Linked DNA regions of Callithrix jacchus. The protein of the gene in region 7 purifies or fractionates together with the protein of the main gene of each other region. This does not show direct contact. Links are inferred from orthologs where the notes say so. Each region holds a gene or a part of one and is shown on either strand. Other genes may lie near its edges.

Evidence for each region.
Region 1: the proteins of EZH1 (region 7) and RBBP4 purify together in Homo sapiens (affinity purification with mass spectrometry; 4 studies listed by BioGRID and IntAct, with this or other methods). This does not show direct contact. The link is inferred for Callithrix jacchus from reciprocal best matches to the Homo sapiens genes EZH1 and RBBP4.
Region 2: the proteins of EZH1 (region 7) and RBBP7 purify together in Homo sapiens (affinity purification with mass spectrometry; 4 studies listed by BioGRID and IntAct, with this or other methods). This does not show direct contact. The link is inferred for Callithrix jacchus from reciprocal best matches to the Homo sapiens genes EZH1 and RBBP7.
Region 3: the proteins of EZH1 (region 7) and JARID2 purify together in Homo sapiens (affinity purification with mass spectrometry; 4 studies listed by BioGRID and IntAct, with this or other methods). This does not show direct contact. The link is inferred for Callithrix jacchus from reciprocal best matches to the Homo sapiens genes EZH1 and JARID2.
Region 4: the proteins of EZH1 (region 7) and PHF1 purify together in Homo sapiens (affinity purification with mass spectrometry; 5 studies listed by BioGRID and IntAct, with this or other methods). This does not show direct contact. The link is inferred for Callithrix jacchus from reciprocal best matches to the Homo sapiens genes EZH1 and PHF1.
Region 5: the proteins of EZH1 (region 7) and AEBP2 purify together in Homo sapiens (affinity purification with mass spectrometry; 3 studies listed by BioGRID and IntAct, with this or other methods). This does not show direct contact. The link is inferred for Callithrix jacchus from reciprocal best matches to the Homo sapiens genes EZH1 and AEBP2.
Region 6: the proteins of EZH1 (region 7) and PHF19 purify together in Homo sapiens (affinity purification with mass spectrometry; 4 studies listed by BioGRID and IntAct, counting the BioPlex papers as one, with this or other methods). This does not show direct contact. The link is inferred for Callithrix jacchus from reciprocal best matches to the Homo sapiens genes EZH1 and PHF19.

What each region holds. Positions count from the first base shown.
Region 1 is NC_133508.1:69,258,982-69,263,224, forward strand, and holds part of RBBP4 (histone-binding protein RBBP4), read left to right. Parts: intron 1-50; coding exon 51-177; intron 178-296; coding exon 297-374; intron 375-2,040; coding exon 2,041-2,117; intron 2,118-2,206; coding exon 2,207-2,264; intron 2,265-2,353; coding exon 2,354-2,464; intron 2,465-4,243. UniProt on the Homo sapiens protein: Core histone-binding subunit that may target chromatin assembly factors, chromatin remodeling factors and histone deacetylases to their histone substrates in a manner that is regulated by nucleosomal DNA.
Region 2 is NC_133524.1:17,115,508-17,119,750, forward strand, and holds part of RBBP7 (histone-binding protein RBBP7), read right to left. Parts: intron 3,162-4,243; coding exon 2,988-3,161; intron 1,993-2,987; coding exon 1,877-1,992; intron 1-1,876. UniProt on the Homo sapiens protein: Core histone-binding subunit that may target chromatin remodeling factors, histone acetyltransferases and histone deacetylases to their histone substrates in a manner that is regulated by nucleosomal DNA.
Region 3 is NC_133505.1:15,225,859-15,230,101, reverse strand, and holds part of JARID2 (protein Jumonji), read left to right. Parts: intron 1-1,048; coding exon 1,049-1,551; intron 1,552-4,243.
Region 4 is NC_133505.1:41,643,262-41,647,980, reverse strand, and holds the start of PHF1 (PHD finger protein 1), read right to left. Parts: upstream 3,015-4,719; 5' UTR 2,482-3,014; intron 1,434-2,481; 5' UTR 1,418-1,433; coding exon 1,259-1,417; intron 1,174-1,258; coding exon 1,092-1,173; intron 985-1,091; coding exon 889-984; intron 489-888; coding exon 388-488; intron 276-387; coding exon 127-275; intron 1-126. Other genes in the region: uncharacterized protein LOC128931737, read left to right, coding at 3,015-3,496, 4,205-4,229; kinesin-like protein KIFC1, read right to left, coding at 3,982-4,026. UniProt on the Homo sapiens protein: Polycomb group (PcG) that specifically binds histone H3 trimethylated at 'Lys-36' (H3K36me3) and recruits the PRC2 complex. Involved in DNA damage response and is recruited at double-strand breaks (DSBs).
Region 5 is NC_133510.1:3,958,706-3,962,948, forward strand, and holds part of AEBP2 (zinc finger protein AEBP2), read right to left. Parts: intron 3,020-4,243; coding exon 2,952-3,019; intron 1,145-2,951; coding exon 1,031-1,144; intron 1-1,030. UniProt on the Homo sapiens protein: Acts as an accessory subunit for the core Polycomb repressive complex 2 (PRC2), which mediates histone H3K27 (H3K27me3) trimethylation on chromatin leading to transcriptional repression of the affected target gene.
Region 6 is NC_133502.1:169,276,871-169,281,113, forward strand, and holds part of PHF19 (PHD finger protein 19), read right to left. Parts: intron 2,831-4,243; coding exon 2,630-2,830; intron 1,869-2,629; coding exon 1,787-1,868; intron 1-1,786.
Region 7 is NC_133506.1:121,168,860-121,173,102, reverse strand, and holds part of EZH1 (histone-lysine N-methyltransferase EZH1), read right to left. Parts: intron 2,418-4,243; coding exon 2,297-2,417; intron 589-2,296; coding exon 412-588; intron 1-411.

The DNA.
Region 1 (4,243 bases), on a different chromosome or scaffold from region 7:
AGTTTAGTCACCATTTCAAGATTTTTTTCCTTTTTTCCTTTCCACTGAAGTTGGGATACTCGTTCAAACAATACTTCCAAACCAAGCCACTCAGTTGACGCACACACTGCTGAAGTGAACTGCCTCTCTTTCAATCCTTATAGTGAGTTCATTCTTGCCACAGGATCAGCTGACAAGGTCAGTTTGGTTTATTTTAAAAGAAAACATAATTTCTCCAGCTTCTTTTGAATTGCAGAGATATTTTACTTAAAGTATTTTCTTATTTTAAAAAATTGATTACTCTTTTCTTTTTGTAGACCGTTGCTTTGTGGGATCTGAGAAATTTGAAACTTAAGTTGCATTCCTTTGAATCACATAAGGATGAAATATTCCAGGTAAAGGAAACTAATGCTGCTAATTTTTTTTGTTTTAAGAACCTAAATTGGGCGCGGTGGCTCATGCCCCTAATCCAAGCACTTTGGAGGCCAAGGTGGGCGGATCACCTGAGGTTGGGAGTTCAAGACCAGCCTGACCAACATGGTGAAACCCTGTCTTAAAATTAAAAAAAAAAAACCTGAATGTGTAATGGGCACACATGTGCTACATGCTGTTGGTAAAAATAGAAATCTGTATGCCTATGCTACTTTCTGTGGGAAAGTTTTTTCTTTGTTATTTCTATACTTTTTCATACTGGTTATTGACCACATACATTCTACAGGTACTAAGAAAACTAGGCCAGGTTTGGTGGCTCAGGCCTATAATCCCAGCACTTTAGGAGGCTGAGATGGGCAGATCACTTGAGGCCAGGAGTTTGAGACCAGCCTGGCCAACATGGCAAAACCCTGTCTGTCTGTCTGTCTGTCTGTCTGTCTGTCTGTCTGTCTCTGTCTCTGTCTGTCTCTCTCTCTCTCTCTCTCTCTCTCTCTCTCTCTCTATATATATATATATATGTGTGTTATTTATTTATTTATTTTTTGAGATGGAGTCTCACTCTTTTGCCAGGCACCAAGTTGGAATGCAGTGGTTAGATCTCCGCTCACTGCAGCCTTTGCCTCCTGGGTTCAAGCAATTTTCCTGCCTTAGCCTCCATGCCCAACTAATAGGTGCACGCCACTATGCCCAACTAATTTTTGTATTTAAGTAGAGATGGGGGGGTTTCACCATGTTGGCCAGGTTGGTCTCGATCTCTTGACCTTGTGATCCACCCGCCTCAGCCTCCCAAAGTGCTGGGATTACAGGTGTGAGCCACCATGCCTGGCCCCTGTCTCTATATTTTTTAATAAAAATTTAAAAAGAGAAAAACTAGTGCCTGATTATTTTTTTCAGCCTTGCTTCTGGCACTTAGTGGTCTCTTCCCTTGTTCCAATATATTCTTCATCCTTCATTGCATGCCACATTATTGGAACACTAAGCATGTGGGAGTTGTTTATCCTACTGCTGAAGGTCATCACCAAGGTCTGATTGCAAAAATGTAAAAAAATAATTGTTACACTACCTTCAAAGCTTGTTGCTAGGTTATTGTGAGAGATTACATTGTAGTCTTTGATGTCCAAGAGGCCCTCCTCCCACCCACGTCGTCGTCCCCACGCCCTTGCCCCTGCCTTTCTTTCTTTCTTTTTTTTTTTTTTTAAGATGGAGTTTGCTCTTGCTGCTCAGGCTGGAGTACAGTGGAGTACAGTGGTGTGATGTCAGGTTGAAGCAGTCCTCCTGCCTCAGCCTCCTGAGTAACTGGGATTACTGGTGCATGCCACCACAACCAGCCAATTTTTTTATTTTTGGTAGAGACAGAGTTTCACCATGTTGGTCAGGCTGGTCCTGGACGCCTGACCTTAGGTGATTCACCTACCTCAGCCTCCCAAAGTGCGAGGATTACAGGCATGAGCCACTGTGCCCACCCGTAAAATAAATTCTTTGGCTTTTAATTTTAACTGTAGTGTCTATAATACTTTGACTTCCTCTTCGTTTTTATTTCATTTTTAAATCGTTAAATATTTTGTGATTTTTTTTTTTTTTTCCCCTTTGTTTTCATGGCTTTGCTGTTTCTTTCATTCCTGTGCGTAGGTTCAGTGGTCGCCTCACAATGAGACTATTTTGGCTTCCAGTGGTACTGATCGCAGACTGAATGTCTGGGATTTAAGGTAATTCATGTATTCATTACTCTGTATATATAATTATTTCCTTTATTGACACTTTGCAAAGGTAATTTTAAATTATGCTTTTGTGCTAGTAAAATTGGAGAAGAACAATCCCCAGAAGATGCAGAAGACGGGCCACCAGAGTTATTGGTATGTTACAGGCACCGAACAGTACTGAAATAAGTCTATAATTTAATGTCCTCTCTCTGCATTTAACATCTTTATTTTCTTCCTTACAGTTTATTCATGGTGGTCACACTGCCAAGATATCTGATTTCTCCTGGAATCCCAATGAGCCTTGGGTGATTTGTTCTGTATCAGAAGATAATATCATGCAAGTGTGGCAAATGGTAAGGATCATTTATTTGGGGGAGGTGAGATGAGAAAGCCATTGAATCAATTTACATTTATATGTTTTATGATTACAGCTACCATCTGTGTTCATTTTACTCCCAGGTGTGATTTTTTTGGGGGTAGGGGAAGGCAGGAAGGGAGGGAAGGAAATCAGGCAATGAGAGACATTGCCGACCTGGATCTAGAGGTTTACAAGTTGATTTATTTTTTAATTAATTAATTTATTTTTTATTGAGAGAAGGAAAGAAAAAAATGAGTAAACGAGAGGGAGAAAGAGGAAGAGAAAGAGGGAGGGTGGATGGAAATATTGCTTTATTCTGAAAAAAAAAATGGGTATTAATAATGGCCAATCAGTGTTTCATTTAAACCTATGAGTAGGTGTGATGTGGTTTTGACAAGAATGTATATTTTGTGTATTTGAAGTGGAGAGCTCTATAAATATTTATTAAGTTTACTTGTTCCGGATCTGAGTTCAAGTCCTTGATATCCTTACTAATTTTCTGTCTCATTGAATCTAAGTCTCTATGTATCTGGGTGTTAGGATTGTTAGCTCTTGTTGTTGCATTGATCCTTTTACCACTATATCTTTGTTGTTTTAAAATCTATTTTATCTGTGCAACTCCTGCTTTTTATTTATTAATTAATTTATTTTTGCTCTCCATTTGGTTGGTAAATCTTTCTCCATCCCTTTGTTTTGAGTCTTTGTGTATCCTTGCCTGTGAAACAGGTCTGGATGTAACATCCCGTTAGGTTTTGGCTGTGCCTTTTGATTGGGGGATTTAGTCGTTTTAAATTTAGGGTTACTGCCATTTGATGTTAACTGGCTGTTTTCTCCATTCGTTGATGTAAATTCTTCTTTATGTTGGTGCTCTTTACTTTTTGGTATATTTTTAGAAAGGTTAATACTGGTTGTTTCTTTCTGTGTGTCATGCTTCTTTCAGAAGCTCTTGTAAAGCAGGCCTGGTGGTAATAAAATCTCTGAGTACTTGCTTGTTCGTAAAAGATTTTATTTTTCCTTCAGTTGTGAAGCTTAGTTCGGCTGGATATGAAATTCTGGGCTGAAGGTTCTGTTCTTTGAGGATATTGAATATTGGCCCCCACTCTCTTCTGGCTTGTAGAGTTGGTCTGCTGAGAGATCTGCTGTAAGTCTGATAGGCTTGCCTTTGTGGGTAACCTGAACTTTCTCTCTGGCTGCCCTTAGTATTTTCTCCTTCGTTTCCACCTTGGTGAATCTAACGATTATGTGCCTTGGGGTTGCTCTTGAGGAATATCTTTGTGGTGGTCTCTGTATTACCTAGGGTTGAATATTGACCTGCTTTGCTGGTTTAGGAAAATTTTCGTGAATAATATTCTGAAGGGTATTTTCCAGCTTGGATTCATTCTCTCCATCGCATTCAGGTACACCTATCAAATGTAAATTTGGTCTTTTCACATAGTCCCACATTTCTTGCAGACTTTGCTCATTCCTTTTTATCCTTTTTTCTCTAATCATGTCTTCTTGTTTTATTTCATTAAGTTGGACTTTGACCTCTGATATCCTTTCTTCTGCTTGAACAATTTGAGTGTTTAAACCTGTGCATACTTCTCAGAGTTCCTGTATTGTATTCTTCAGTTCCATTAATTCATTTATGTTCCTCTCTAAGTTGTCTATTCTCAATAGGATATCATCAAACCTTTTTTCAAAGTTCTTAGTTTCTTTACATTGGGCTACAACATGTTCTTTTAACTCACAGAAGTTTCTTATTATCCATTCTTTGAAGCGTGATTCTGTTATT
Region 2 (4,243 bases), on a different chromosome or scaffold from region 7:
GTAAGATCCTGCCTCAAAAAAAAAAAAGGTAGACAACTCACAGGATGGGAGAAAATTTCTGAAAACCATAGGGACTTATACCTAGAATACATAAGAAACTCTTGTAACTCAACAATAAAAAGACAAAATATGGACAAAGAATTTGAATACATATTTCATCAAAGGAGATATGCAAATGGCCAATAAATAAAAGAATATATGCTCATCATCATTAGTCATTAGGGAAATGCAAATTAAAACCACAATGAGCCATGTGTGCTGACTCATGCCTGTCAATCTCAGCACTTTGGGAGGCCAAGGCAGGAGGATCTTTTGAGCCCAGCAGTTCAAGACCAACATGGCCAACATAGTGAAACCCTGTCTCTATTAAAAATACAAAAATTAGCTGGGCCTGGTGGCACATGCCTGTAATCCCAGCTACTTGGGAGGCTTAGGAAGGAGAATCACTTGAACCCAGAAGGTGGAGGCTGCAGTAAGCTGAGATTGTGCCACTGCGCTCCTGGGCAACACAGCCAGACTGTCTCAAAACAAAACAAAACCCCTCCCCCACCCCCCCCCAAAAAACAACAACAAAGAAACCCAGCAGATACCACTTTACACACACTAGGATAGCTATAATAAAAAAAAAAGACAAGCACTAGTGAGGATGTAGAGAAACCGGAACATTTGTACATTGCTTGTGGAAATGTAATATGGAAAGCCACTTTGGAAAACAGTTTGATAGTTGTTCAAAAAGTTAAACAGAGATACCATATGGCCCAGTAATTCCACTCCTAGGTATGTATCCAAGAGAAATGAAAACATACATCCACACGAAAACTTGTACACAAATGTTCATAACATAATTCAAAATAGCCCAAAAGTAGAAAGAACTCAAATGGTTCGACTGATAAATGAATAAGTAAACTGTGGTATATCCATACAATGGAATATTGTTAAGCCATAAAAAGGAATGGAACATAAGAAATGTTACTTGAAAACATTATGCTGGCTGGGCGCAGTGGCCCACGCCTGTATTCCCAGCACTTTGGGAGGCCAAGGCGGGTGGATGACGAGGTCAAAAGATCGAAACCATCCTGGTCAACATGGTGAAACCCCGTCTCTACTAAAAATACAAAAATTAGCTGGGCACGGTGGCATGTGCCTGTAATCCCAGCTACTCAGGAGGCTGAGGCAGGAGAATTGCCTGAACCCAGGAGGCGGAGGTTGTGGTGAGCCGAGATCGTGCCATTGCACTCCAGCCTGGGTAACAAGAGCGAAACTCTGTCTCAAAAAAAAAAAAAAACAACAACAAAAAAACATTATGCTAAGTGAAAGAAGCCAAACAGAAAGGCTGCATATGTGATTCCATTTACATGAAATATCAAGAATAGATAACTCTATGGAGATGGAAAATAAAGTAGTGCTTAGGAGCTAGGGGATAGCAGGGAATGAGTGGGGAGTCACTGCTTAATGGGTATAGAATTTCTTTTCGAGAGTGAATGAAAATATTCTAGAATTAGTGGCAATAGTTGTGCACCTTTGTGAATATGCTAAAAGCCACTGAATTGTACAATTAAAAATACTTTATATCAATCAGGCCCCACAAACACTCTACAGTTTCCATTATAAGGGCCTGGAGGGTCCTCTTTTAAATAATGGAAGGCCTTTTGCCTATGCTCCCTCCGTTCTAAGGCTAATTCAAAAGAGCTCTGTGGAATCTGAAGACTCATATAGGGCAGTATGAAAACCATCTCTCTAAGTCCCAGGGAAATGTTATCACAATAATCAGCAGTATTATCTTAGAAAGCCTTTCATCTATATAGTATTCCTTCAGTACAGCTGTGATACTTTAGCTCCCACTATATGAACAGATTACAAAGAATACGTTTCTCACATGGTCATCAGATGCACTTAGGAGATGTCCACTCAGATTCGAATTCCAGGAGAGACCATAGCCTTCCTTCTGGTGACCTCTTAACCTGAGATCAGGATTACATTCTCCACTTGGGTCTAAGAAAAGAAAAATATTAAGTTATTCTCTGTTTATCAGAAATTGTGAGAATAAATTCTCACTCCTTCATTGAGTGAGCCATTACAGCAACTGCACATGAACAAGATCTGGTCTGACCCATAACCACTTTAAAAAGCTGTTCTCTTGGCTTTGTTTTTAATATCCAACACAAATTGAGCCTCAGAACCATTAAATGATTGGTTTCTTTGGAAAACCTACTACCCTCAACACAAAAACACTGAAAACTATAGCTATCCCACAAATCTGGGAAGTGGTAACCCATCCCCCACCTCCCAATTTTTAGAAGTATTTCTAATACAGCAGGTCTGGTTGCTCACTCCTTGCATGCCTCTAGGGTATCCTGATTCATAAGTGACCCTTGGACAACCTCTGGGAATGTGACCCTCAGAAAGTCCTTCGCGTCACTGACTGATAAAGTTGTGTAAGCCCAGAGCAGTGGGGTATGTCACAGGGACTTGTTAAGACTTGTAGAATTGTTTAGCAAGATTCACAATGCATTTGGCTTCACTGTTGGAGGCCTCACTTTTGTTATCATGGCTAGTCAAAGAACAGGATGCGCCCACGCAAACAGACCTCCACAAAAACCCCCGATTCTGAAACTTAAATGGGCTGCCCTCGATAGAAACATTTAGCAAATGTCCCTGTGGTTTGCTGCTAGAGACAAAGCATGTCCTATGTGGCCCTAGATGGGAAGGACCCACACACCTGTAGCTAACCTCTTTGGACTCCCCCTGATGTGTATCTTTTTCCTCCTACTTTTGCTCTGAATCCTTTGCTGTAATAAATTTTAGCTCTGAGTATAAACTGCTTTTAGGCAGTTCTGGCAAATTCCTTAACTTGAGGATGATTATGGGACCCTCCAAAGCAACTTTTAAATCTTTAAACATTATAAAGTATGCTACTTTGACCTTAAAAACATTACCAGTTTGAATCAAGAAAACTGCTCAAGCAATGGCCTGACTTTACCACATACCTGGTTTAGCAGGGTGCTTTGTATAGTCAAAAACCAACACATCAGAAGATGGTGTTTTTGTCGCAATGATGTGAGGATTCTGCGGCATGTAACGAGCACGGTTTACTTCTCCTTCATGATTGATTTTAATTTCACATTCAATTTTTCCTGTTACAGAACCAAAGCCACCAAATTCTAATGTGAGGAGAAAGAAATAAACACACACACACACAATCAGGATTAAAATTCACAAATCACTTATTTTAATCAACCTAACAGATTTTGACCTGGCAGAATACAACACAAATTGACAAGGCAAAGACAGAGACATACATAGAGAGAGAAAAATCAAAAAAATGTGAGCTCATTTGCCACATCAATTTATTCCCATTTTCATTGAAAAATATTGGTAGCTGCCTTATGCAACTTAATTCGGTTCCACCTTGGATCTAAAACAACTGTCCTCTTTCAGTTATGAAGATGATATATTCACTGAGATTTCAAAGAACCATATAATAAGCAGACCAACAGTTTTTTAGTTCAAATATAACTCATTTGGAAGCGCTGCACTGAATTAGCATCTTATTTTAGGATTCAACAAAACAGGAAAGGTTTTACCCTTAGGAGTATGAACATTCTATGAGTCTAAAGTCAGGAGCATCCGTAAATTAATAAAAAAACCCATGCTAACCCCTACCCATCCCTAAACACACATATGTTGGCCCTGCTAGCATACTTGGTTTAGCTGCTAGTGCAGTGCCAAGGTTAACCTCTCCATCTGGTGTGTGAATAAGACTGTAGTATCAAATAATCATGAAAAAGGCCTTGTAAAGTAACAAAGCCATATAAAAAGTATGATAACTTCCAAGAAGTAGCAACATATTAGCAGAAAGAATACAAGTAGAGAACATCTAAGCAAAGAGCGGCAAACAAGGACGTTCTTTTTTGTGCTCATAGATTAAAAACTTGAATTAGTTGCTGACATGTAAAAAGATAGGACGGTTCACATTACAATTGTGTTATTTCTTCCTGACCTATATTGCCTTTTCTTTGCACATTCCATTTTAACTCACCCTGTGTGTCAGGTCAAGGAAAACTAACACAAATGCCTACTGGAGCCAGGCAGGTAAGAAGTAAACTAGACTGGGGCCTGGAGAAAACACCAAAAGGAGCAAACCATTTCTCAGTTTCAGCCAGCTCTATGTGAGAATGCCTAATGAAACTGGCTCCCATGTCTTAACATCAGTATCTAGCCATTCCTTTGAAGTAAACATAGC
Region 3 (4,243 bases), on a different chromosome or scaffold from region 7:
CTTCTGTGCCCGCATCCTTGGTCTTGCTGATGTGCCAGGAACTCGTTCTCGTGCTATGTCTGCTGAGGCAGTTCAGACACTTCACCTGGTGGGCCCCGCTGTGCTTGGTGTCTGCAGGAACCCTGCCTGGATGGGATCTGTGCCCACTTTCCCTTTTATTATTTAAAAACAATATATCTCCACACTCCAAAGATGTAAAGCTTTCTTAATTTTTGCTTTGTTTAGCATTTTATGGATGATTATTTTGGAAGATTCCCCCCTCCCCTCTCCCTTATTGGCCCGAGAGAGGTTGCTTTTTCAGTTCCCATCTGGAGAACCCACTAGGTGTGCATTAAACCTGTTGAGGGTTAATATGCATTTGCGCTCCTCTGTGACCTGATCAGGAGGGGCCCTGAGCACCAGCTTACTCACTGAGGAGTAGCCTCATGGGCAAGGGACAAGGCTAAGGGACAGACAGACTGCCCTGTGCCCTCACGCAGTCGTTGCTCTTTGCTCCCGACATCCAGTCAGGTTGAAGATAGACTTCCTTTGTGTGAATGAGTGGGTGGGTGTTGGGGCTTTCAGAAGGGAACTTGGGAATTGCTAGGAAAGGTGTGTCTGTAATTTCCAACATCAGATATTCCAGGTTATGCTGGGAAGTGGATGCAGCTGGGACCCCTGCCCGCTCCTCATCTGGGATCTTCTCATGACCCCTGCCTCCATGTGAGAACGCATGCACTAGTGCGTTGGGATGTTTCTCTCCTTATGTCCGTCTGGCCAGCTCTATTCCTCTTCCAGCCAAGCCCCAGCTTTAATGCTGCCTCCTGAGACACTTGTCACCTAAGATGGTGGCCCCTTGTTCCACTCGATCTTCATCGCACATGGCCGTGACCCATCACTGTGTAATGCCTGTCTCTGTAGACCAGAAGCCTACCATTTCCATTGTCTCCCCAGAGGCTGCCAGTGTCCTGGCTCATAGGAGGAGTTCAGGAATTACAGGTTGAATGAGGAACATCTTGTTCGTGTCCCTTTCACTAACTATCCCGTTTTTCCCCCTTCACCGTCCCAGGGGGCTGCGAGCTCGACCTGGCCTGCTTTTTCCGGCTAATTAATGAGATGGGCGGCATGCAGCAAGTGACTGACCTCAAAAAATGGAACAAACTAGCAGACATGCTGCGCATCCCCAGAACTGCCCAGGACCGGCTGGCCAAACTACAGGAGGCCTACTGCCAGTACCTGCTCTCCTACGACTCCCTGTCCCCCGAGGAGCACCGGCGGCTGGAGAAGGAGGTGCTGATGGAGAAGGAGATCCTGGAGAAGCGCAAGGGGCCACTGGAAGGCCACACAGAGAACGACCACCACAAGTTCCACCCCCTGCCCCGCTTCGAGCCCAAGAATGGGCTCATCCATGGCGTGGCCCCCAGGAACGGCTTCCGCAGCAAGCTCAAAGAGGTGGGTCAGGCCCAGTTGAAGACCGGCCGGCGGCGACTCTTCGCTCAGGAAAAAGAAGTGGTCAAGGAGGAGGAGGAGGACAAAGGCGTCCTCAATGACTTCCACAAGTGCATATATAAGGTAGGGGCCTGTGTAGAGCAGCCAGCGCTGGCGGCAGGAGTGCAGGTGGCACGAGGAAACAGGGCGTGCTGTGTGCTGGACAGTGCACCCTCTGACTCCCTGGGGTGATGAGGGAGGGAGCGGGCCACTGTGCTGGATGAGGGCGTGGTTTTTTTGTTGTTTTTGTTTCTAAGACAGTCTTGCTCTGTGGCTCAGGCTGGAGTGCAGTGGTGCAGTCTTGGCTCACTGCAACCTCTGCCTCCTGGGTTCAAACAATTCTGCCTCAGCCTCCCGAGTAGCTGGGACCGCAGGTGCATGCCACCACACCCGGCTAATTTTTTTGTGTGTTTTTAGTAGAGATGGGGTTGCACCATGTTGGCCAGGATGGTCTTGATCTCTTGATCTCATGATCCGCCTGCCTTGGCCTCCCAAAGTGCTGGGATTACAGGTGTGAGTCACCTCTCCCGGCCAAGGGCGCTCTCTTAGTCCACTTCATGCTGCCGAAATAGCACAGACTGGGCAATTCGTAATGAACGGAAATGTATGGGCTCATGGTTGTGGAGCCTGGGAAGTCTGATATCCAGGAACCTGGTGAGGGCCTTCTGGGTGCATTGATGGAATGTTGGTGCAAGGTCGGGCAGTGAGAGACCCAGTAGGGAGGGGACGTCCACTCCACGAAGACACCACGAGTCCATTCCTGCGTGCCCAGGGCCTCAGGGTTCCTTTTCGTTAGCTGGCTTGTGTGTGCATGTTGCATGCACATGCACATGTCCTCATCTGCCAGGGATAAGTACCGGGGCTGCATGCTTCGCTTCCCCTGCGTCCCCAGTTCTTTTTGCACCTGTCTCATCCTGGTGCATGACAGCTGCCCAGACACAGCTGACCTCACTGGCTGGACCCTCAGTGGACTCTGCACGCTTGTTTTCTCTGCGTCCTCATTTCCATCCGCTCAGCTTACTGCCAGCCCAGCAGTGCCAGGTTCTTTCTGTGGACGGTCATCCCTGATAAAGCCATTCCAGTGGATCTTGCCATTCACACTCTGGAGGGAAGAGTAGGGGAGAAACAAGCTAACTGAAATACGCGTGTTTCCCCCTCCGCCAGTTCTCACCGCAGCACAGTCATCCTGAGGAAACTTACCTCCCGGAAGCAAGGGAAGCAGAGTCGCTGGCTCTCCTCCTGGCGCCCCTCCCAGCTGGCCTGGCAGTGAGGCCAGACTGGGGGCTTCTCCGGCATGCGAGTGGGTTGCGGGGCTCCCGGGGCCCAGCTGGACAAGCCCAGCTATGACCTGCAAGTTGAGGTCTCTGCTGAATTGCCCGACACAGACTTGCCCTCTGTGGTCCTAGTTCTGGATTCACTGGGAGGGAAGTGTTCTCTGCTTCCAGCCCTGGTGAGCCTGGCCAGAGTGTGTGGGCATTGGCTGTTGTTCATCCCAGAACCCCGCCACACCCTCAGGTGCCCACGGCTGCCTGACTGCAGGCTCTGGCCTAACCTTGTAGTTGAGGCAGTGTGGGCTTCTGAGACCATCACACGTCTTGGAAACGGAGGGATAGCTGACGCCACCACCTGCATCGCCGCTCCATTTTACGTCCAGGCCCCGCAGACTGCCTCAGGCTGCATCTCATACACTTGACGCTTCTCTGGAAAGAGGTTCCCCAGTCTTTCTGTCCTGAGACCCTGAGAGGGTTTGGCCTTTTATCTGAGTCTCGTTTCCTGTTTCCAAGGCTGCCTGGTGGGGGCATGTGGGGGTTGCAGGATGCTGCCTGCCAAGACCCAGCTGCCTTGTATTTGACTGGTCGGTGTTCTTAAGAAAAGAGAAAGTGTGACCCAGATACTGTAAGCTCTGGGGAACTTTTATTTGGTGTTTCCTGAACGTTTTAATGAGAAGCCTTTGTCAAGTAAAGCCACTCACTGAATCCTGTGACTCTGGATAGCCAACTGGTGAGATGAGATACTGTCAACGTTTTCACTTTTTACTGAAGGAGGCCAATTGTATGAGTGTTTGCTCCGAATAAGAGGTTTGGGTTTTTAAAAACATACCCTGTCAAGGATATTTCTAGATTTCATCACGGAAACATAGTGGACCTCTGCCTGGTGGCCGTGGCGAAGCCCCGAGGCAGCCGTGTGCCCATGCGGTGGGGACCCTGAGCGTGCAGCTGTCTGCGGCCCTGGTGTCCTGGCTGCTGACTTTTGTGTGCTGGCGTCATCCTCACTTCCACTCATTGTACTCTGCACTGGTGCAAAATTCAGTCCCTCCTTGTAGTTACCTTTGTTTGTTACAAGAAACAGTGTCGGCAGTGGCTTGGAATTGCATGAAGTATGTTCCTGTAGTTAGCACCCCATCTAGTCCCTTTGGAGCTAGAAAGAAAGGCCCAAGGTAGCATTGCCATGCTGACTGTTGACTGTGGACCTGACTGCTGGAAGCGTCTGCTGCTCCCTCTTCTGGCCCTGTCACTTGTACAGGAACACTGCAGTGGCCAGTGCTGCGTAGGGAAGCCTTCCCTGACCACCCTTTCCCGTTCTCCATGACACCTGGCACCTCCTCCCATCCCGTGTTGTGTTGTCTTTGTGTCTGAGGCCTGTGTGTTCCCCAGACTGAACGGAAGCTGCACGAGGCCAGAGGTTTCATGTTTCATGTACTTCTCTGTGTCCAGCCCCTAGGGTTTGGCCTAGTACACGGTAGGTGCTCAGGAGCTATTTCTGGCCTCAAGTCGTA
Region 4 (4,719 bases), on a different chromosome or scaffold from region 7:
TCCCAAACCTGCTTATCACTTACTTCACAACCCCCTGAGTGCTACCCTCACTGTTCTTTCTCCTTCATTTCCTGGGGTCCACCCCGCCATCATTCATTGCACAGTCTGCTCCCCCTCATTACTCACTCCCCAGGGCCACCACAGTAACAGTAGCTCTGCTGTCGATTGCTCAGATGTCCAGCATCCCAGTCCAGCCCCTTCAGTCCATATGGCAGAGAGAGCTTCATACCCAGCATGGCCCGGGCATAGGGGCCCTTCTTCAGGGCACCGCCCCTCTGCAGAGATAGAACAGGTGGGTGGCCTCAGCGGGGTGGGGAGAGGAAAGGCTTGTGAAAGGCTGTGGATGGGAGGCTCCCACAGGAAGGGGTAACAGGGAGGTGCCTTTACCTTGGTGGCGATTGCAAAGACACATTGGCGGCACACCCAGGATGTGCCCTCTCCTTCTCCAGGGGCTGGAGCCCTGGGAACATGGCAGTCCTGGTGATAAGCTGAAGAATGATAATAATAGACCACTTATTGCATACCTGTGTGTGCTGGGTATTGGGACTGGAATAGTCTTTACTCATCTCATTTAATCCTTGACCATGGTCTTGATGAGGGAGTGCATTTTCCTTATTTTACAAGTCAAGGAACTGAGGCTCCCAGAGATTTAGGGACTTGCTCAAGGTCATACGGTTAGGAAAGGATGCATTTAAATCATCCTCTACCTGCAAAGGTTACACCAACCCTTTCTATGGCTGCTTTTCCCTGGGCTTACAGGGGATGAGGACTAAGGGCTAAGCAGCCTGGCCAGAACAGTGGCTTGGGGACTAAGGCCAGGACAGGTGACATAGGGACTGTGCTGGAGGGAAGAGCAAGCTGGACCATTCAGGTGACCTGCCCTCTTACCATGGCGACACTTCTCACAGCTGACCAGCCGGTTCCCAGGGACCACAGTCTCAGAGCGACAGACACAACAGAGGAGTTCCTCCCCAGGGAGGGCAGCTATGAGAGAACACAGTGTCAGGGGCCTGCCCTTAAGTCTCTTTCTTCTCCTATAAGCCAGGTTTGTTTTCCATGTGATGTGCAATCTCAGGTCTCTAGAGTCTTACCAGGGCTAATGTCTTTCCATAGAACCAGAAACTGTGAATCATCCTCAAACTGGACCAGACACACCTCCCTAGCACTGTCCACCTGCAATGGGTGAGCATAGAGAATGAAATGGGAACCAGACTTAGATAAGGGGAATAGGAAGAAGGTCAGAGGTAGAAGGTCTTACCTTTTTGATGGTGCCCAAGTATAGCAGCCCATCAGTCCATCTGGCCAGCACATCTTGACCCTCCCAAAGTCGAGGTCTGGGGCCAGAGGTGGGAGCAGGGGAAGCTGGGTCCCAAAGTGAGGAGGCACCAGAACGGCTCAGCCGGGGGGGCTGCGCCATTGCATCCTGGGGGGGGCTAGCCGGAAAAGAAATGGGGAAGAGGTTATGAATGCTGAGAAAACTTCCCCATTTTCTTTTTTTTTTTTTTTTTTTCCCTGAGATGGAGTCTTGCTCTGTCACCAGGCGTGCAGTGGTGTGAAATGGAGTCTTGCTCTGTCGCCCAGGAGTGCAATGGTGTGATCTCTACTCACTGCAACCTCTACCTCAGTTCAAGCAATTCTCCTGCCTCAGACTCCCAAGCAGGTGGGATTACAAGTGCACACTACCACACCCGGCTAATTTTTGTATTTTTAGTAGACATGGGGTTTCACCACATTGGCCAGGCTGGTCTCGAATTCCTGACCTTGTGATCCACCCACCTCGGCCTTCCGAAGTGCTGGGATTAAAGGCATGAGCCACCGCGCCCAGCCAGCTTCCCCATTTTATTTGCCTATTTTGCCGTCAAAAATGAAGGATCTGTGCCCCCAACTCCCAATCCTGACACACCTGGATAGGAAAACACTGGGCACCCATCACCAGCTTCTTGAGTACTCTTCCAACTCTAGTGACTGGCTCTACTCTCGGTAACTGCCCTCCCCCCGACCCAAACCTAGTTCTCTAGTTTCACAGCTTCCAGAGCTCTCCTGGGATATTATATCCTGGCCTTTAAATTTTAGGGGAAATTACGTTTGCAGAAGCAAAGGCTACCCCTCAGTTTAGAGGTACCATAATTAGGGTGCCCTGTTGCCCAGAAATGTATTTTGGGACCTTTTCTAGAGATGTTTTCCAGGGCAGAAACGGCTGTCTCCCCAGGCCTGCGTGTCTCATTAAGAACAATCATCCTGGTGCCAGGTTATGTCAGGTCACCCTCAAATTCGGGGCTCCCTGCCCTCGGGTTAGACAACTTCTCTGAGTGCCCCGGGAGGGGGGCGTGTCCGAGTCCCGGTCTCTACTCCCCAGGACTGCAAGTCCGAGAAGGGACTTGCGTCGGCCCAACCAGGACCCCGCGGCCAGGACGACGAGGCTCTCCCGCCCGCGCCCCGCGCCGACCCCCGGCTCCCTGCCCCCCACCGGCGCCTCCTTACCGGTGACAGCTGGGGCCGCCGGGAGCTGGGCAGGGGCAGACGTAGTAGACCTAGGCGAGTCCCCCGCGCGGAGAGGGCACGTCCGGGCGTCGGGGGGCGTGCAGGCGGAGGCCGGGGGGTCCCCAGGCCCAGCCCCTCCGTCCCGGCGGCTCTGGGGCGTATGACGCAGCAGCCAAAGCAGCGGCAGCGGCAGGAGGAGGAGGCGGCGGGGGGGAAGGAGGGGAGGGACGGACCGGTTGGGGGGGAGGGTGGTGGGAGGGGAGGACTGGGGGGAAGGAGGAGCCGGAGGGGGGCCGGGCACCACCTCACCCCACCTCCCTCACCTCCAACAGGCCTGGAGGGCGCCGAGCAAGAGGCTGGCCCTCCGCGGTTTGGGGAGCGAAGAGTCGGACCCAGTGGGAGAGGGAATCCCCTCAGCCCCTTCCTCAGACCTGAGATTCGCCCTTGGGGCAGGAGGGAATCCCCCCTCGCGGCAGCCCGCCTCCGGACTGGTCCCCCGCCCCGTGCCACATCCGTTAGCTGCCCCACCCCCCATGGTCACGCCGAGTCCCGCCCCCCGCCCCCAGTTCGCGGCCCCGCCCTCCATTCACCCTTCCCGTTGCCCCCACCACGCCCTCCCTCGCGCGCCCCGCCCTCCACTCGCTGTTAGCCCCAGCCCCGCCCTCCCCGTGGCTAGTCGCGCCCCACCCGCCGCCCTTTTGCGCACGCGTGTCCCCTCCTGCGCGCGGCACCTGGGAGGACTGAGCCCCTCCTTCACGGGCGGCGGCCGTCGACCGTTGGCGCGAGGAAGTCGGCGGTCGTGCGCGCCGCTTCCCGGGCACGTCCCGCCCCGTACTTCCAGGGCGGGCGCAAAGACTAAGGGGGCTAGTACCCGAGGCGGTGACGCCACCGAGAGCCAGCCAATGGGCAGCGGGCGGGCAGAGCCCCAGCGGTTCGAACAGAAAGGCAAGGAAAGGGCGGGAGGAAAGAGCCAGCAGTTCGGGAGCGCGCGCCGGCCCCACCTCGGGACTCCGAGGTCCGGTCCCTATTTGCGGACACCCACCAAAGGACCGTTCCCTCCCTGGGGATGAGGTGGCGGGCGGAAGGGTGAAACTTAATCTGTAACTAGTTACGTTGGAAGGGGCGTGGATAGCTAGAGGGCACACCTCCCGATGTGACGGACAGGGAACGGGGCATTAGCAGAGGGGAAGATGATCCAGACCAGGGTCCAGAACTGGTGACAGGTGAAGGGAGAAAAGCCCAAGCCCTCAACCCCCGCTCCCGCCTCCCACACAAACACTTTGCAGAAGGGACAGATCACAGGTCCCACCTTTACAGATATGAAAGTATCTGCCTCCTTGGGCAAATGCTAATGAAAACCTTTATTTAAAAAAAAAAAAAGTATTCTTTATTTGATAGCCCTGGGACATGGCGCCCTCCACCCAATAAAGCACCCTTCAGTAACCCTCCCACCCCTCACCCAACACATACACCCCCAACACACAAGATCTGGATCCGTCTTCACTTCCTGTTGGCTTGGGCAGTACCAATAACACACTGGTTCACCTGGGTGTAGGGGGTGAGACAGGATAAAAAAGTTTGCAAAATAACCAAAAGAACAGTTTTCTTAAGATCTCCTCCCATCCTCCAATGCTAGGGGCTGCCCTCAGGAATACTGAAATAAGGCCTCCAAAGGCTGGTTCAGGCTGATTTCAGTTATGGTTGGTTCTCCTTTCCACACTAGGTTTGGAGGAGGTGAAAAGGCCTGAGAGATGGAAGCCCCACAACAAAATACAGGAGCGGAGAGAGGAGGCTTTCATTTCCAGCAATACTCTCTACTAGAGACCTCCAACCTCTTCCACTGTAAAATCCTTAAACTGAGATAAAATAGTAATAGCAACGAGCACCCATTTAGGAATTAGCACTCCTTAGAAAAGTGGATCAGTTGAAGTCTGGAGGAGGAAATGTACAAGTTGAATCTGAAAAAAGACTACTAGGGTTGTGTCTAAAGGACACTGGCGCCAACCTGAAGGAGGTTCCTAATGGCCAAATATGGGGCAATTTGAGCATCAGAAAGAATGACTGTGGTCGGGCTCGGTGGCTCACGCCTGTAATCCCAACACCTTTGGAGGCTACAATGAACTTTGATTGAGCCACTGAATTCCAGCCTGGGCAACAGACCAAAACCCTGTCTAAAAAAAAAAAAAAAAGTAACGCTCAGATAGACCTTCATTGGTCACCTTTGGAAGCTGTTAGGGT
Region 5 (4,243 bases), on a different chromosome or scaffold from region 7:
TGCTGTGATTACAGGCATGAGCCACTGGGCCCACCCAAAAACACCTTTTTTGTGGTAGGGAAAACTGTTTCCACATGGAAATGTCTATAGTTAGACTTTCACTCATAGAATAATGTCTCAAATTACAGGAGTCTATGTGAGTAACACTCAGAAAGTACATCATGGAATGAATACGTCCTCCAAAGTGTCACTATAAAATTAGCTATCTTTACAACAGCTAAAATACACAAAGTTTCATTCAAAAAGACATAAAGCCCTTTCGGTAAGACTGCCTTTTAAAAGCTGGTTTTAAGCATTGCCACCACTTTTTAAATCACTCTAATGTACCTCATTTGGATAGAGGCACCATGGAGTTCAATCACATTCTGTAGACCTTAGGTAGACTATTTAACCTCTTGCCTCAGTTTTCCAATCTGTAAAGCAGAGACAGTAAAACCTACCTCACAGAGCAGCCGTGAGGATAAAGTATACAAAGCACCTAGCAAAGTGACTTAGCACACAGACAGAAATTCTGGTCTCTTCTCCTTCCCCCCATACCTTTATAAGCATAGTACACTAAAAAAACTCAAATCATAAAAGTACTAGAAATGTGAACACTCTAAGCTACATATAAAAAAACAAACAAATAATATTTGAATTGCTCTTTCAGAAAGTTTGGAGAAAGTGTAAGTTCAAAAAAAAAATCAAAACAGTTTTGGTATTTCAGACTCATGCAACGTATTAGGTCCACAAAAGTCTGTTACTATGTAAGAAATTACCTTGTTAAAAGGGCATTTATCTTCAAATTACTACTTAAGATAAATCTGGGATTAAACAAGCATATAAACTTTAGCAAAATACTATTTTCCTGGATTGTACAATTTTTAAACTTTTTGTGAGTCCACACACCAAAGGAAAAAAATGCCAGGAAGTAGTAAGATATGCTTGATATTAAAATTCGGTTCTGAAAACTAAGTCCTAATTTATCCAAATTTGGGGGAGAGAAAATTACAATTCAAAAAGTAAAACATAAAGGCAAGAATTAAATTACCTGTATATGTTTGGGTCCAAAAGCAAGGCAGTATCTTTGGGTAGCTTTGATAAATGAACTACTTTAGTTTTTAACTGATGTCGTTCACTTTCATTCACCCACACATCAGGCAGACTATGAATTAAAAAACAAGTCAACGGTAAGATAACATTCATTTTAGATTGACACTTCCTGTGCCTGCACATTCTGGCATTTTCTGTCCATATTAAGTGAACAAGTTTCCCGGAAGCCAAGTTTCCCGGAAGCTAGCAAATTTCTTTACTGAGAGAGAAATAAAAGGGTCTGGCATGTTGGCTCATGCCTATAATTCCAGCACTTTGGGAGGCCAAGGTGGGAAAGATCACTTGAGCCCAAGAATTCAAGCCTAGAATGGCCAACATGGTAAAAACCCATCTCTACTAAAAATACAAAAATTAGCTGGGCATGGTGGCACACAGCTGTAATCCCAGCTACCCCCGAGGCCAAGGCATCACTTGAACCCAGGAGGCAGAGGTTACAGTGAGCCAAGAGTGCACCACTGCACTCCAACATGGGCGGCAGAGCAAGACTGTCTCAAAAATAAATAAATAAATAGATAAAAACCCTGGAAGATTAAACTCCATTTAAAAAAAAAAAAGCATGTGGCTACAATACTAAATTCAAAAAAATTCAACTCTGTAAGAAAATTAAAATAAATGTATTTTGATATTTGGATTAATCAACTTTCAAAACATTAGAATACACACATCTAAATTTGATTTTTTTGGAACAGGGTCTCGCCCCGTCACCCAGTCTTGAGGGCAGCGATTCAATCACAACTCAATGCAGCTTCAACCTCCTGGGCTCAATCCATCTTCCCACCTCAGCCACCTGAGTATCTGGGACTACAGGCGACAACATCACAACCAGCTAATTTTTTTGTTTTTTGTTTTTTTTCCTGTAGAGACGAGGTCTCACTATGTTGCCCAGGCTGATCTCAAACTCCTGGCCTAAAAGCGATCCTCCTGCCTCAGCCACACAAAGCACTGGGATTGCCAGCATAAACCACTGTGCCCAGCTATTGGCCGCATATGTGAATTTGGTATGCATAATAAAATCTCTTTCAATTACATTTATTCAATTCTTGATACTTAAAAATTTTGTCCAAAATTTCTGTAAGATACCCTGATTTCCTTTTTATAAAATGAAAATTTTAATTAAAAAGATAAAAAGAAAATTAAACATGAAATATCTGAACTGAGAAACATCTAGGTCAAAAGTGCTATGAATAGGCACTAAAACTCAAAAAAATGTAATCACTGCTAGAAAACTAGTCAATTGCCTTTTTTTTTTTTGATGTACAGCAAAACCACAATCAGAAGAATTTTTTTTCTTTTGGTCAACTGCTTTTTCTATAAAATATCATTCATTGTATGCTAGAGAACATTTACAAATTTTTAAAATAAATGATTCAAACAAAGGCACAGTTATGGCTGCTTGTATACTGCTTGGAGGTCCCTAAAAATCCTAAAAATGATTAAAAATTTCTACGACTACTTCTTCCTGTGCCTCAGTCTCCCGAGTAGCTGGGATTACAGGTGCATGCCACCACACCCAGCTAATTTTTGCATTTTTAGTAGAGATGGGGTTACACCATGTTGGCCAGGCTGGTCTCAAACTGCTGACCTCAGTGATCCACCCGCCTTGGCCTCCCAAAGTGCTGGGATTACAGGTGGCAGCCACAGCTCCCAGCTTAAACAAAAAAACCTTAAGTTTCAAAGCCTGTAAGGTAAACCAGATAGTCTAAGACTTTTCAGATTATCTCTTTAATCCTGACAACCTCAAAATGTTTTACAATGTAATTTTTGTTTGAATTTAATAACAAATAATTTTTGTGCTTAGGATTTTAAAAAAATAAAACATAAACTTATTAAATGTTACACAGGGTATTTCAAATACTTACATATCTTCAGGCATCCAATGAAGCAAAAGTTTTATCTTCCCAGAATCTTCTTTTCTCTTAGCTATTACCTAATAATGAAATGAAAAAAAAAATCATAAAACAATTTGCAAAACATCATTTTCATGCATTGTTAAAAAAACACTTTTGGGGCTGGGCACAGTGGCTCACGCCTGTAATCCCCACACTTTGGGAGGCCAAGGTGAGTGAATCACAAGGTCAGGAGCTCGAGACCAGCCTGGCCAATGTGGTAAAACCCCATCTCTACTAAAAATACAAAAATTAGCCAGGCATAGTTGCAGGCTCGTGTAATCCCAGCTACTCTGAAGACTGAGGCAGGAGAATCACTTGAACTCAGAAGATGGAGGTTGCAGTGAGCCGAGACAGAGCCACTGCACTCCAGTCTGGGAGACAGGGTAAGACTTCATCTTATTAAAAAATAAAAAAGTGGCTCACACCTGTAATCCCAGCACTTTAGGAGGCCGAGGCGGGCAGATCACGAGGTCAAGAGATTGAAACCATTCTGGCCATGGTGAAACCCCGTCTCTACTAAAAATACAAAAATTAGCCGGGCATGGTGGCACGCGCCTGTGGTCCCAGCTACTCGGGAGGCTGAGGCAGAAGAATCGCTTGAACCCAGGCAGGGGTTGCAGTAAGCCGAGATTGTGCCACTGCACTCCAGCCTGGCGACAGAGTAAGACTCCATCTCAAAAATAAATAAATAAATAGATAGATATAAACGTAAATAAATAAATAAAGGGGGGCCAGGCACAGTGGCTCATGCCTGTAATCCCAGCAGCACTCTGGGAGGCTGAGGCAGGCGGATCACCTGAGGTCACCAGCCTGGCCAACATGGTGAAAACCCATCTCTTATGTTTAAAAAAAAAAAAAAATTATAAAATAAAAAAAACACTTGTAATCAAGAACTTAAGTGTTCATACCCTGGAAAAGATAGTACCGCCACTACATCGTGCTTTGTAGTTCTTCCCTGCTTTGTAGCACTCAAACCTCTCTGTCTTTCCCACAAGGCTGAAAAGCCCATGACATAGGTCTTTTCTTACTCTATGAACCCTTTGGGTCATACCACCTATAGCAGTGTTTAGTATAAAATCAATTAATTAACCGTTTGGAACTCCATTCTAAAAAAATAAACCTAGATTCAGTAAAAGCTCTGTGCTCAAGGATGTTTGTATTACAGGGAACACCGTTATCACTTCAGGCCTAAAAAGGGGAGAGCAAATATCCCAACACTGAGATCTAAGAACTGTACTTGTTAATACCTATTATCTCCAGCC
Region 6 (4,243 bases), on a different chromosome or scaffold from region 7:
TGAAGCAATGGATCAATAATTACAGTTGTGCTCAGCCTTATGCTCTCACCTCGGGAGATGCCAGCGGGTGCCCAGAAGGGGCAATTCTGGCTAGGAGTAAAGCTATTCTTCAGCTGATCACTGTGGTACCTCCATGGAGCCTGGCATGTGGTGGGCCTACATAGGTTAGCTAAGGTGAATGGGCTTCTCCATCCGCCTCTTTGTGCTTTCAATAAGGAGGTAAACCAGGAGAGAAGAGCCTCATTGCTTTGGATCTTTATACATTTCAGGATTTGGAGAAAAATCGGTCTCCACTGGTCACTGCTTCTTGGAGAAAGGGGCAATTTGAAAGCTTTACTAACCAGCTGGGTTCTGTGGCCTCTACGTGGCAGGCTTCTTGGAATCATCTCTTACAGTAACAAATTATTACTATTATCATTATTTGAGATGGAGTCTCACTCTGTTGCCCAGGCTGGAATGCAGTGGTGCGATCTCAGCTCACTACAACCTCCACCTCCTGGGTTCAAGAAATTCTCCTGCCTCAGCCTCCTGGGTAGCTGTATATTTAGTTGAGACAGGATTTAACCATGTTGGCCAGGCTGGTTTTGAACTCCTGACCTCAGGTGATTCACCCACCTCAGCCTCCCAAAGTGCTGCGATTACAGGCATAAGCCACCACACCTGGCTAGTAACAAATTCTTGATTAACAGCCTCTCTCTAACCAATAGCACTGAGCTAAGCATTTTACATGGATTAGCTCACTTAAGCCTCCCAACCACTCTATGAAGCCAGTACTTTCACTATCACCTTCCTTCACCTAAAGAAATTAAGACCCAGAGAGGTCGTATTACTTGCTCTGGCAAATGCAGCTAGTAAGTGGCAAAGCTGGAACTTGGTTCAAGGTCTACCTGACCCTAAAACCTGCTTCTTCCCCCACTAGGGGCCGTGCCTCTTCTCCTGTTAGAGTATAAATGGCAAATAGGTTTCTCCTCTCATGCCAACTCTGATTGACAGGTAGTAGCTGCTTCGGACTCCACGTTGAAAGCACATGTGCACATGTGTTGTCAATGACTCCTGATATCTATTGTGTGCATGGGAAGGGATAATGGTGGCAAACACGGCCCTGATTTGCCATCTCTGTAAGGAAGAGATGTCAGCTTTCTAAGGACAGGGATGGTACCCAACCCAGCTTCCTTTCAGCCCTGAAAGCTGGTCTAGCTCCATCCAGGCATGTTTGTCTTCACTCTGCCTGGCTCATCTCTGCTTTATTGGTTTTTCTCCCATTTGCCGCGAATTCCTTGCCCCGTGGAGACGGCTGCTTCCACTAGTTTTATTCCCATGTTAAATCAGGGACACTGTGCTTGCATCTAGAGCTGACAATTCTGATTACCTGGGCACATTCGCTTTCTAGCCTAGACTGGGACATTTAAATAAAACCAATTCTGGGACATTTAAATGGAAAGCAATTATTGGACTCAGAGCTTTGAGCAGCTGGTGATACAGTGCAGCCAGGAAGCAAACACAGGCCTGAGGCCCAGTCCTGGCCCTCCAAGAACCTCCCTGAGCTACCTTCTCCACCTGCCCAGCCTCCTTCCTGGTGTATGAACTCTCAAGGGGACGACTCATGTCCTAAGTACCTTGCCAAGTCAATGTACAACCAGATTTGATCATCACCTCAGGTGGGCTTGGGGTTCATGGACAAGGGCAGATGCCAGGAGTAAGAGATGGAAGGAAAGAAGGAAGAAATGAAGGCAGCAGAGAAAAGCTGGGGAGGTTGGGGGCTACTCGAAATTTTAAGAAAACTTACCATGCTGTATGTCCTTCCATAGGACCCAGTATTTGGAATTATCTTCGAAAGTCACGAGGCAGCTTTGCTTAGAGCTGCTGACCTGGGGCATGGATAGGAAGAAGCAAGTGAGAAAGGGCTAGGGAAAAGCCAACCTGGATTATAGTCTTCCTTCCCCATTTTTGTCTCCTTATGCTCCAGAAAGCAGAGCTAGAAGGGGAAGGATGATAGCAGTTCCTAGACATGGTAGGCTCCTAGCCAGTTACTGGCTGATGACAACTTGGTCAGAACGCTGAGGACCAAAGCACAATTCAGATGGTCCTCTGTGATCCTCTCGAACCTGACTTTTTGGTTTTGTAGGTTCTCAGAGCACTTTTCATTTTTTTTTTTTTTTTTTTTTTTTTGAGATGGAGTCTTGCTCTATTGCCAGGCTGGAGTGCAGTGGTGCGATTTTGGCTTACTGCAACCCCAACCTCCCAGGTTCAAGCAATTCTCCCACCTTGGCCTCCCGTGCACCTCTAAGCCCAGCTAATTTTTGTATTTTTAGTAGAGATGGGGTTTCACCGTGTTGGCCAGGATAGTCTCAATCTCTTGACCTCATGATCTGCCCACCTCAGCCTCCCAAAGTGCTGGGATTACACGCGTGAGCCACTGCGCCTGGCCTCCAAGTACTTTTCTAAAGAACTGGTTGGATGGTGCCTGCAAGACCAGGCTCTGGTCCCTCCCACCACCAGCTTTGGTCATGAGGGACAAGAAGGGAATTCCCTAGCAATCCCCCTGTCCGCCCCTAGTCTGAGAGCCAAGCTGGAACATGAGCAGAGAGATGCTGAGCCTGAGAACAGGCACCAGAGAGGATGGGTTTACCCTCTTGATCTTCCCGAGGTAGTACAGGCCATCTGTCCACCGGCACAGCACATACTGGCCCTCTGTCAGCTTGGACATTAGGTCTTTGAAGTTGTTCTTGACCTTCGCCAGGGCCCCCTTGTTGGGGAGGTGGCTGGTGGCACCATAGGAGTCCCGAGTCCCTGGATCCAGAGCTCGATTCTCCATCAGCTTCCCCTGACACTGGGAGAGAAAGAACAGAGTTTTCACTTCTTGCTTCCCTGCTTCAGAAAGCCCATCAGGGGAAGGAAGGAAATCAGCATTTCTGTATCCTGTGCTATAAGCCAGGCTTGTTTATTATCTCACTGGTTCCTCATGGCCATCCTATGAGGAAGATATTATTCACATCTTACAGACAGGGAAACTGAGGTATGGCAAGGAGAAGAGGCTGATGTGCCAAAGGCAGAGCCACGGCCCATACCACACTGTCTTTTAAAGTGAATAGATCTCTCAACCTACACAGAACAAAGTCCCCTACCCAGCGGGCTTGAACCATACTCCCTGTCTCAGGAGGCTGAGGTTTTATTCCTTAGGCAAACACACTCCATGTACTCTGGATGGAGGGTCTTATCCAGGGGAGCAGCTGGGTTTTTTTTCTTTCTTCTTTTTTAAACCCCAACCCCTGCAACCATCCCTTCCCTGCGATCTGTCCAGAGAAAACTCACCTAGAAAGGAAAACTCCTGGGTGGCTTGTAACTAGTGTAGAGGGGTCATCTGTCTTTTGTAATCCCCCTTCTGTTGTCAATTACGAGATGATTTAATGGAAACCAATTCTGGGACATTTAAACTCACTTATGCTTTCACCTAGATATACATTTGCTCCAAGCAGTGAAGTCATCTCCATGCCAACCTCTCCACACCTGTCTCTCACCATCCTTTTCAGCAGCATGCAGTTTGCCCATGGATTCCTCTCTCCCTGCTAGTGGCATTGCCTCCATGCATCTCAAACTCCTCCAAGCAATGAGCTGCCGTAGTCTGCCCATTTTAAGTGCCATGACTTCTGGCTTTCCGGTTCTAGCTTCCATCCTCCCATGCTGGTCTGAGTTCAGGCCTCATCTTTTGCTTGGGTCATTCATTCATTCACTCATTCACTCAATAACAGTTTCCTGGGCCTTGTGTTCACCTCCACTAGGCACCTGGGTTGGGGAACGGGTACTACCAGCACCCAGTGCTATATAGGCTGCTCCTGCATTCCTGCCTTTCCACCAGACTCTTCCTCAGGGCCACCAATCTCCTTCCAGAAACCTTCTGGGGCTCTCCACTGCCCTCACCGGTGCTCAAAGCCATCCCTAACGCTCCCTTCCCCGCTGGACTCACCTGGCTCCATGCCCCTCCACACACTCTCCACTACAGAGTCACAGCCTGGCTCTTTCCCTGCGCGCCTACTCGGGTCTCCTCCCTGTGGCCACGGCGCTGGGCACCTGGTATTATGACTGTCCACAGGGAGAGGGTCCAGTGCTTGTTTTTGTGTGGTGCGTGTGTGTACTCCTGTAAGACTGGGTGGGATGATGTCCAAGGCATTGTGCCAGGGAGTGTGTGAAGCTAAGTACGAGTTTATGTGCGGGGCCCTGGGGCGAGCGGGGCACTGCAGGGGTC
Region 7 (4,243 bases):
AATAAGAGAGAATACACTATGTCCCTGGACATATAGTATAATTAAATAACATAGAGTATAATTAAACTATTAAATTTTAAATTAAACATTAGTGACATGGAAAAGTGTTCATAAGAGTAAATAAAAAGGTATACAAAATTTAATATATACATATATATATTGGCATGATCCCAATTTCACATAACACATATAATTAGAAATGAATAACAATGATTATTCTATCAGTTCTTCTAGTTTATTCTTCACCTAAGTCACAGCTATCTGCAGCTATCAGTTAATGATCATTGTCTCCTTTTAAGTAAACCAACAAAAAGGACCGACAGCCTTTAATAGGCAACAAACCTTTCCATTCTTCCTTCTTCCCTATCACCATCACTTTAAAAACAGAATAAGGGAGCCCATGCTATGTACCTTCAATAGCATGTCGCTTTCTCTTTCTTGTTACTGGCAGATCTTCTTTGCTGTCATCCTGCTTTCCATCTGAGGTATCATTGTGCCCTTCCTCCTCCTCATCTGAGTACTGATTCAGGGCATCTACCAACTCCAGAAAAACAGCATCACTAATCAGGACGGATCCAGGGATCATCTCTGAAACAAAAGGATTAGAAGGATGAGCAGTGATCACTTTGCATTCCATGAGTCCTCCTAGGCAGGTTTTCTTGTACTCACTCCAGAGGCCCAGATAAGTAACAGGTGTACATTTTTATATGGGATTTCTGGAAATTACAGTCATTTGATTGGCTCCTACACATGCAAGTTCAGCTGGCTAGAGTAGGAATACAGTTATAGGCTTAATTCTTACTGAAGAACTTCACTTTCTCAGTCACAAGTCAAATCTGAATTTATGGTTCAAAATCTCACAAAGTGTCAAACAGGCTGTGTGTGGTGGCTCACGCCTATAATCCTAGCACTTTGGAAGGCTGAAGCGGGTGGATCACGAGGTCAAGAGATTGAGACCATCCTGGTCAACATGGTGAAACCCTGTCTCTACTAAAAATATTAAAAAATTAGCTGGGCATGGTGGCACGCACCTGTAGTCCCAGCTACTTGGGAAGCTGAGGCAGGAGAATTGCTTGAACCCAGGAGGTGGAGGTTGCAGTGAGCTGAGATGGTGCCATTGCACTCCAGCCTGGGTAACAAGAGTGAAACTCCATCTCAAAAAAAAAAAGTGTTACACAATCTCCAGTAGGACAAAGAAAAAAAATAAAATGAAAATTCTATTGGCTTTGCAGCTGATGAGTCAGTAATGACATCTCTAAATCAAAAGACAGAACTTTTTCCTAAAATTGTACTTTATGGAGAACTACTACAATATAGGTTTTTGAACACTAGGAGGCACTGAGGACAAATAATGTAGTTCAACAGCATCACAACAGCCCTCACAATTGTCAGAAGAGCAGGTGAGGCTGTTAGTTTACAAATTGATGGGGAGTCTCTCCTCCTTCCATTTCTTAGACATGGACAGACTTTTCTAGAATTACAACTAAATCCAAACAATTTGCTTTTAGGAAATTCAGATTATTAAAATCAACTTCTGGGAGATCCAGGAGATACCTGGATCAAAGAAGTATGACGGAGAGGCTCATTACTATTCTCAGAGAAAGAGAAATAAAGAACAAAATGGTCTTGGATGTACTTATGGAAAACTCCTAAGTTCTAAGATTAAACTTATTTATATAATAAACTTCCTCTCCAGCCACTGATTACTATATAATCCTTTCATGTCCCAACTCCATTTAAAATTTAACTAGGGTACTTTAAATAATTTTTATTTCTGTTTCTGCTGCTTGAATCAGCAATAACTAGGGTAATAAAAAACAAAAAGCAAAAAAGGAAATAACTAGGGTATTTTGGGCCAGGCTGGTGGCTCACACCTGTAATCCCAGGGCTTTGGGAGGCCAACGTGGGAAGATTGCTTGAGGCCAGGAGTTTAAGACCAGCCTGGGCAATGTGGTGAGACTCCATTTCTACAAAAAATTTGGCCAGGTGTGGTGGAGTATGCCTGTAGTCCTAGCCACCCAGGAGGCTGAAGGAGGAAAGTCACTTAAGCCTAGAAGGTCAAGTCTACAATAAGCTATGATTATGCCACTGCATTCCAGCTTGGGTGACCAAATGAGACCCTGTCTCTAAAAAACTAAAAATAAAAAAATTAACACCCAGACATGTGATGACATTGAAATATTCTTTAGTGTGTACCCCACGTGGCAGAAGATAAAAGCAAAATGGCAAGATGATCAGATGCCAAAGAAGAGGCCTGATTCTAACAAAATTTTCTCCCAGAGTTCAGCACCACTACCTTCTTCACCATGGACTTTCCCATCGTAGTTATTGATCAGCTCCTCAATAAAAGTCTCATCTTCTTCTTTCACTTCATCTCCCATGTAGGGAATATTGCACAAAACCGTCTCATCTTCTACCTGAAATCAAATCGGATGTAATTCATTCCATGAAGCCATGATGCAGCTCCTCTTTCCTATTTAGCAGAATCTTTGCTGAGCTTTGTTTGCTGCTTGAGTCTCCTAAAAAATGCCTTTATTCAAAAGTTTTCTGCATTGAACTGGCCATTTTGTTTTGCCAAAAAAATCTCAAATGGGGCCGGGAGCAGTGGCTCACAGCTGTAATCCAAGCACTTTGGGAGGCTGAGACAGGTGGATCACAAGGTCAGGAGATGGAGACCATCCTGGCGAACATGGTGAAACCTTGTCTCCACTAAAATACAAAAAATTACCCAGGTGTGATGGCATGCACCTATAGTCCCAGCTACTCAGGAGGCTGAGGCAGGGGAATCGCTTGAACCCAGGAGGCAGAGATTGCAGTGAGCCGAGATCACACCACTGCACTCCAGCCTGGCATCAGAGGAAGACTCCATCTCCAAAACAACAACAAACAAACAAACAAACAAAAATCTCAAATGGTAGGAGTAATGTCATGCTTAGAAAAAAAGATCTGTTTAGTTGATAATATTAACTACCAAATGTTTAGCTTGATAGTAACAATGATATTTTCACCAACGCCGAGAATTTGACGGTATATTTTTTGCAGTGCTTTCATGTATTATCTCATTTTATCCAGTAAACATCTTTATGAAACAGGTACAAACATCACCCAAACAACAGTGTAAAAAGTTTCTAATTGTTTTCATAAGTAGAGAGATAAATAGATAAATAAAAATGAAAGCTTCTGCCAGGCGCGGTGGCTCATGCCTGTAATCCCAGCACTTTGGGAGGCCAAGGCGGGCAGATCATGAGGTCAAGAGATTGAGATCATCCTGGCCAACATGGTGAAATCCCATCTCTACTAAAAAAAAAAATACAAAAATTAGCTGGTCATGGTGGCACCCGCCTGTAGTCCCAGCTACTCAGGAGGCTGAGGCAGGAGAACTGCTTGAACCCGGGAGGCGGAGGTTGCGGTGAACCAAGACCCTGCCACTGCACTCCAGTCTGGCGCCTGGTGACAGAGCAAGACTCTGTCTCAAAAAAAAGAAAAAGAAAAAGAAAGCGTCTAAGATTATAATCTGCAATTTAACTACAAAATAAACTGGGCAATCATAAGACCGATGGGAATCCTATAAAACAGACTAAGATTCTCCCATAATAAAAAAACAATTTGATTACAACTCATGCCAATCACACTCAATGAGCATTTAAGGTCATCTGCAGCCCAGGCTATAGATACTTTCTGGCAATAAACAATAGTAAATACTTTTGGGGGAGTGGGGTGCGCAGCAGAGAATACAGTCATTCTAAAACCCCCAAGAAGCAAGTAAAATTATTCTGAAGTTTTATCCTAAGAGATAATTCCCTTCTATAAACCTTGACCTCATTCCAACCAGTAGTACTGCTATCTGTCACCAGGCAGATGACAAGCAATGGCAGTATTTAGAGAGGACTGATTATCAAAACCACAAATAATCCTAGTAGGAGTCAGCACAAAGGTCCAAATGAAAAGACTATGTACACAACTGTTGCCTCAGTTGTTTTTGTAGCAGCCTGCATTTAGAGAATTCAGAAAGGATTACTCTGTCGATGGAGTAATCGATAGAGAGTCGACTCTGTCGACTCTGTCGACTCTCTCCATCAACAGAGCAGACAACCTGCTCAAGTCTCAAGAGTCTGATTGACAACTTGCAATATACACTGTTTAGAACAAATAACTACAATCTTGTCTGCCCTGCATGTCCAAGCTTTGTTAAGTACTTGGACAATCTTTAACCTAAGAGGAGCTCTGGTATATCAACATAAGA